Linked DNA regions of Neodiprion lecontei. The protein of the gene in region 1 purifies or fractionates together with the protein of each later gene. This does not show direct contact. Links are inferred from orthologs where the notes say so. Each region holds a gene or a part of one and is shown on either strand. Other genes may lie near its edges. The genes, in order: metal-response element-binding transcription factor 2 and polycomb protein eed-B.

Region 1 (4,152 bases):
TCAACTTGCATGATCAAGCTTACCTCTACGACAGTACCAAGATAATATTTGCCATCTTTGTGCTGGAGAAGAACGTCTTCGCCATGAGAGAAACCGAGACGCTGCTCCTTAGTTGTACTATCCGGCACAGCCGGACTCTCCTCTGGCTCCGACATTTTCAACCCGGCTGCTGAAATTGTTGAAATAATTTTTCTCTCACAAATTTATACCACATATACAAAACGTCATGAGTTGATCCCTATCTTTCAAGTTTTAACTGACAAGTGGGCATCGTGATACAAATTTTTCAGGTTTGCAACATACTTACCATCAAAGGCTAATTTCCAAAATGGACAGTGTCGTAAACGCATTAATTCTTAAACGCAGATGTATTACCGAAACTTATGCGATAACCTTTCGAAGATAATCTCTCGAGAATTCTACTGTTCTCATTTTTCTTTCTTTGGTAAATTGATTGCTTTAGCACTGCGATGATGCAGAGTGTTCAGCGACTAGGTGATATGTAAAACTTTGTAACAAATGCAGATATCTCAACTTATGATTTCTGAGTTGCCACAATCATAACTCTGCATCAGGCTCATAGTACAATGTAAGAAACATGCATGTTCACTGTTCCAAGAAAAAGAAATAACCTCTCATTTATCGCCCTGTGATAATTCATTTTCAGTGATACATCAATACTCGCTACTATTTGTATTATGTAATTTACACCCCACTTGTATCACGCATGAATTTCTATTGATAAGTTATGATTCAAGTCGAAACAAAAGATTGTCTTCAAATGTTTTGACGATAAAATTTATAGATCAATGCAGTCTTTTATGACCAGTTGCCCTAGCATAAAAGATAATGTGAAAAGTTTAGCGGCTAATTGAAAAATATTAGAAACTTTCTTGCGATTGCATCGGTTGCCTTTGAATGCATAAATTTTACCATGGTTACAAGGTTCATAGAATAGTTAGTATCAAGACGAACTTTGCTCACAAACGAGATATTATGAATACCCAATCAGTAAGGTAAATAGGCGCATGCAGTTACAATAAGCATACCCGAATGATCAGTGGTAGTGAGACATTTTAAATTCCAGGATTTACAGAGATACGTTTTTCCCTGTTACAAAATAAAGGATTGACGCACACAAGTATGCATATAATTATGAAAAATGTACTTATGTTTGACTTGAATGAAAAATAAATGTTTCTGTGGCAGAGAGAAGGATCAGCATAAAGATATATGTACGCATATATATATACACACATACATACATACATACATATATGTATACGTATATTCGTCTAGATGCTGCAAATTAGGTGTTTGATATACTGACATGTTAAGCTACTATAAAACTAAGTTAGAAAACATTGAATTCAAGTCTAATGACGCGATGATATTGGCGTAAGAAATCTGGTCTTGTGAGTTTAATGAACATCCAATGATGTAGAGCAATTTCCTGTAAGAGGTATGTTGCAACATTTATAGAAATTAAATCCAATGAATGTGAGAGACGAAACCGGCAGGTGGTGGATGAATGTGGATAACATTGAGACATCGCTGGCAGTTGTGTCAGTTCAGTTATATCGATGATCGAGTCAAATGTGTGAAGGTTGAAAAAACATGAAGACAAAAGAGCGGGTACAGAAATGAATCTTTATAGATGGTAAAATCTTTATTGAAAACAATTACAGTATGTGTAAGTACAAAGGTGAAAAGAAATAAATGTATGAAAAGATGATTGAGGGTAAATTTTGGCTGCGCGTTGATAGAATCTGCGGGGGGAATATATTTTCGTTGGAAAACGGTACGAGTGGAAGACCAAAAGATTCGATAAGAAATAGAATAATGAATTTTAGGAAATAGGGATGAAACGAACGAAGGACATAATCAGAACCGAAATAAAATAAAAACAGTCGGATGTCTGGAGGACTTTCAGCCAGTGGGTCAATGCATGCAAGGTTTGAGAAAATCTGATCGAAGTCTCGGGGATTTTGAATGATATTCGAGTCGTCGGAGGACGGGGATAAAGTCGGAAACACGCCCAGGGGGTGCATGGGAGGTCGGTGTGCATCCCCCACAGACCGAATCAATCGTTTCATATAAGATAATCGTAGGACGAAACAACCCCGTGTAAAAAAGAGTAAAGAAGATAGAAGCCTGGGTGAGTTTGAGCGGTGTACTTGTGACATAAAATTGAAAGTTTCGCGATAACCAGCGCGATATTCTGAGGGTCGTACCTTGACGTCTAGGCCGGAATATCAGAGGCGAATGTTATTCTTCATTTTCCATCTCGTCAGCCATTTACAACCATGGGGGCCCCGCCACGGTTGCCCCGACAGACTCGGCCGCGCGCGGCAAAATCCTATTTCATTTAGTCTCCGCACAATCCCCACAGACTCGAATCACCTGTCGTTGTACCGATCGTTTCTTACATCCATTAAGTACGACTCGAGCTACCTCCCGCACTTACAGCTATTCATTTGTGCCGATTATTCGGTCTAATTTCATTCTAGATGTAACAAATTCGAATACATTCCGTCCGCCATGTTTGGGGAAACACTTGCTGGGCTGCTACGCGGGTCAAATCAGCGACCGAATAACCCAACATAAACAATCCTTGCATCGCACTGAAAAAATTCGAGCACTAAAGAACAAGGCCGGGCCGGTTTCGAGATATTTTTTAACCGACCGATCGGTGACCGAGACTTCGTTTCGATCCGACGCTAGTTCGTCAAACCGTGAAGCAGTCCAGTTTCCGCCTGACGGTACACTCACTGCCATAATGCTGTCCGCCTTTCCAATTTGTTTACATTCTGAAAGGTCCTTTAAACTCGTCGATGGGGGTGACAAATTAACCGCTGATCCGGACTCACCGCCGAACGAAATTGTGCCCTACCACCCTTCGACCGATCTACAACATTACGGCTGTATTTACATCGCTATCGGGAAAGACCAGAAGCCGGTCATTTTCGTCACATACTTCGTCGGCGGTCCGGTGGTGCATTCGTAATAACTTCATACCCACTTGCACACACGCCTGATTCTATAACCCGACACCCGGGTTTTATAGTCGTGTCGGGAATTGATCACGCGCACTGAACTCTACAAGCATCATTATGTCTATCGGCAACTGGCCGTTCATGTCTGACCTAAGGAACAATAGGGGGAAAATAATAATCGGGGCACTTGCAATGCAATATTTATATGCCTACGTATACGCGATGTTCGCTGCTGTCACGGGACCGCCAAGCCACAACATGTGACGTAAGAATTACGTGCATTATGTGTACTACGTGACGCACGTTCCTGTATCGCGACAACTGTAATCTTTTTTGCAAATTATAATGCACCGAGATTCAATCGCTTTTCACGCATTGTTTGCGTTCAATGATTTGCCATTTTGAAATCTTTGCACCGATTTCTTCCGCCATTCTTAATTCTTCTCCTTTCTTCTGCTCAGCGATGAAAAATTTCGCTGCATTGTTAATTTGAATATATAACAACAATGGAACGGAATTTATTAAGAGGAGGATAATACAGTTGACAAACGGAAAATATTAGGAAGATTCAATAGCTGTATGCACATGAGAAGGGAATGAAGATTGAGGAATTGACGTAGAAAATAAATATTACATTTTATTGGTGAATTCACTGTTACGGCTATAGATACGTGTTGTACAATTTTATTTTATACAATAAACTAAGCATATCAATGGTGTCTCATATTTCTCACCTTTCGTGCAGACAAACATACACACAAATTATACGTGAGGAAATATTTCAAAGCTTTGATCTCATAATATACACGATATAAAAAGCATTCGTAGGAAATGACTCTCAACACCGATGGTCTCAAAACGTTATTAGTGACAATCGTAATATGTCTATCAGGTATCGGCCGATGAATCAGTTACGAGCATCCGCCAAGTTCACTGCTATTTATAAAATATATACATTATTTATACATATACACATTTCTACATGAAGGATTTTGCAGCGTATATAATAACGAGGTCGAAGGTATAGGTAACGTTAAAGCAATGAAAAGTTGAAAGAAAGATTATTATTTTGCAACTTCAGAGTAACTTTCAAGGAATTAAGTTCGCGATATATGGGTATATGGCAATATTGTTAACGGTGTATTATGATTTACTG
Region 2 (3,600 bases), on another chromosome or scaffold:
GTCGAATGGACGAGTGACAGAACTGGTAAATAATAATCTTTATTGAACATTATTTTATTCCCACCATCTCTGCAAGTATTTTCAAGACTGCAAGGAAAATTATGGAATAATGGTGAACGAAAAGCCACTGAGATTATAATTGGTATATTGAATATAGCTATCATAATAATAACTAAGATATTACATACTTTGAAATGGCAATTATTCCAGATATACTTCATTAATATTTTTTCACCAGGTCTACCCCTCACCTCATTACCATGGGCGCCAAGTGCACACCCTCAAGACGTAGAGAAAAAATTTACATATCTAAACGTTGAAGGACTTCGAGAAGATGCCGGCGATACAACAGGGACCTTCATCTGCGAAATTATTCTCGTGTAGAACAGTTCCTTCTTCTAAAATCATGTAATACTTTTCAGTGCCTATTATCAAACAAAAGTTGTAAAATATCACTTTTTGAAACAATGAAATTTTTATTTGTATAGTGTCGTGTATACAGTAGAACGTCGATTACTCAATTAATTGGAACTGGGTACCGTTTGGATAATCGTAAATTCGGATAACCAATCTGCACTATTCCTTGGGGGCAAGAAAAAACACTCGTTCAAAATTATAGAAATGTCTACACGATAGGTACCGTTCTGTATATTTTCAAGGTGCAGAGGAAGAGTGCAATATTCTCTTTTAGTATGTACAATCAAAATTTCTTTGTGTTCAGACTGGTCGTATTTTTTGTTTTCGACAAATTTATAACATACATATAAGGTATACGAAACTGTTGACAGAAGGCCAGAGAGAGATCTATTGTTGAAATTTATTACTGAGATACGCCGATTTCGCGGAAATTCATTCCCCGGGTTCCGAAGATAAGACTGATCGCATTTCGTTTGAATGCCTCGCTTGGCGATTCCATAAAATTCATTCCGTGTGGTGGAGATTGGTGTTATCGAACTAACCAACCACGTCCAAAGGTAAGGACTGACATGACTCCACCCGAGTTTCGTAGATGTCGCCAAAGGCTGTGACTTGTGAGCCTAACATAGTGTTTACCGTTATGCACTGCCATAGCATCACGTAGGCTTATGTTTATTGCTAATAGCTAAAGCAGTCGGTAGAGAAACAGAGCGAACCCGATCTCTGAAGGCGCAAAAGTGACGAAGTGCTCGTGATAGATTATAACTTATAGGTTAGATTTGTAATATGCAGGACGGATACGATACAACGGTCTATTTCATGGCAGTTGCCGGTGGCAAACGTCGGATGTTTGGTTTCTAATGGCGCAGGTCTTGCGTTATGGATTACGAAAAAATTTCGCGGTCATTTCGTTTTTGGTAAGGCTTTACGCTTTCGTTACTGGTTCTTTTTCTCACTTAAGAAAATTTTTTTAAATACTGACGCACCACAATCATCCCTAACGGAACAACGCACAACTTCAATCTCGCAGATCGTTTCCACCGCCGAATATTGCGAGAAAATATCTCAAGGATTGCTGAATAGTGCATCAGGGAAAAAACAACAAATTCTCATACATCGGTGCGAGTCTGTCGCCGAAGTTATTGCCACTCATAAAAATCTTCACGTCGATTTTATCGTATTTGCAATCGACTCTCGGCTAACGCTATCTTTGAAGGAGGTGGGTATTTAACGACAAAAATTATTTTTTCGTCGTGTATTAATGGTTTTAAGATAGAGAAAAAAACCTGCATCTGTTTTTCGTCATAATCGTAATTACCTATACTTTTTTTTTATTCTCCTATTCATTCAGGTTGAGAAGAATATTCTGCTAGTTGATCAGAGTTTTATATTGTTGAGTAGCACCTGTTTAGTAAATGGTAACAACATATCGTCAAATGCTATGGGTGTGACGCAAGATCAGATTTTGGAAGTTTGCGACAAGTACAATCTTCGGCTTCTCAATTCAAATATTAATGTGAGTTTACGCATTTCAAAATGTCTAAATACTACGCAATGTCGATTTGTCAAATAAAATTAGAAATATTTTAAGAAGGTGAAAAACTGAATACAAATTTTCATTTAGGTACCGGAGGACTGTCTCTATTTAGGTGATCAAATTATCAATTTATCTTGCACAGTTCTCGGTCAGAGAAGCGGATTGCCATTGTTAAACATCCGTGATCAACATACAGCAATGTACATTGTCGATGATTCTGTGGCATAAATGTGCAGTTCAAGTGAGTCACATGTACAAAGTGAAATAATTATTCAAACAAGCTACAAAAAATAATTCCATGAAATTTATCACCACAAAAAACTTCCCAAGACTGGATAAATAATATTTGAATACCATTTTATGTTTCTTACTAAATACTAAAACAGCAAATTGAAACTTTTTGAACTCCTCAATGAGTATCTACCAATTAGTCCGATGTTTGTAATTATTGGATATGTGTACTTTCAGATTATCAACAGACGGAAGATATAATGAAGAAAGCTGGTGCGAAACCTCAGTGCCAGACTTATACTTCGAGTCAAGAAGACACTGACAATGATAGTGACGAAACCGAGTGTAGTATTGGCAGCAATTCGACTGCAGGTACACATCGAAGCGATACTCCGACTCGCAGTGCTCGTTATAAGAAGAAGGGAAGACGGCGAAGTAAAACGGCAAAGAACAAGTCTCTGAATGACAAACCAATGTATAAATACTGTTGTAGTGTCAAGGAAGACCACGGGCAGCCTTTGTTTGGCGCTCAGTTCAATCACCATCTCAAAGAAGGTGAACCAATGATATTTGCATCAGTAGGAAGTAACAGAGTCAGCATTTACGAATGCCCCGAGGGAAACAATATCAGGCTTCGACAATGTTACGCTGATCCTGACAGTGAAGAAAATTTCTACACATGTGTATGGACATACGATGATTCAGGAAAACCATTATTAGCCGTTGCAGGCTCTCGAGGAGTAATTAGAGTAATTAGTACTGTCACTATGACGTGCATTAAGCATTACATTGGTCACGGTCACGCAATTAATGAGCTGAAAATTCATCCGAAGGACCCAAATATCCTTCTTTCAGCTTCGAAGGATCACGCTCTACGTTTATGGAATATTAAGACTGATGTTTGCATAGCAATATTTGGAGGTGTCGAAGGTCACAGGGACGAAGTCTTGAGCGCGGACTTTGATATGATGGGACAACGGATAATATCTTGCGGAATGGATCACGCATTGAAACTTTGGTCCCTCGATAAAGGGGAAATGCTGGATGCTATCAAGCAGTCGTATTACTGCAATCCGACCCGCAACGGGAGACCTTTTGACTCGATTCTGCAACATTTTCCCGACTTTACAACAAGAGATGTGCATCGCAATTATGTGGACTGCGTTAAATGGTACGGAGATTTCATACTTAGTAAATCTTGCGAAAATTGTATCGTATGCTGGAAACCTGGACGTTTAGAAGATACCCAACTTCGTAACGGCGAAACAAGCGCCACTGTACTGCATCGCTTTGAATTCAAGGAATGCGATATATGGTTTATACGATTCTCCATGGATTTCTGGCAAAGGACAATAGCACTTGGTAACCAAGCTGGTCGTACCTATGTGTGGGATCTGGAGGTTGAAGAACCAGGC

What was found.
Region 2: the proteins of metal-response element-binding transcription factor 2 (region 1) and polycomb protein eed-B purify together in Homo sapiens (affinity purification with mass spectrometry; 3 studies listed by BioGRID and IntAct, with this or other methods). This does not show direct contact. The link is inferred for Neodiprion lecontei from reciprocal best matches to the Homo sapiens genes MTF2 and EED.

What each region holds. Positions count from the first base shown.
Region 1 is NC_060261.1:15,229,244-15,233,395, forward strand, and holds the start of metal-response element-binding transcription factor 2, read right to left. Parts: upstream 2,706-4,152; 5' UTR 2,235-2,705; intron 170-2,234; exon of another isoform or gene 167-169; 5' UTR 156-166; coding exon 24-155; intron 1-23. UniProt on the Homo sapiens protein: Polycomb group (PcG) protein that specifically binds histone H3 trimethylated at 'Lys-36' (H3K36me3) and recruits the PRC2 complex, thus enhancing PRC2 H3K27me3 methylation activity.
Region 2 is NC_060263.1:6,600,198-6,603,797, forward strand, and holds the start of polycomb protein eed-B, read left to right. Parts: upstream 1-1,081; 5' UTR 1,082-1,334; intron 1,335-1,447; 5' UTR 1,448-1,636; intron 1,637-1,768; 5' UTR 1,769-1,933; intron 1,934-2,041; 5' UTR 2,042-2,182; coding exon 2,183-2,195; intron 2,196-2,422; coding exon 2,423-3,600. UniProt on the Homo sapiens protein: Polycomb group (PcG) protein. Component of the PRC2/EED-EZH2 complex, which methylates 'Lys-9' and 'Lys-27' of histone H3, leading to transcriptional repression of the affected target gene.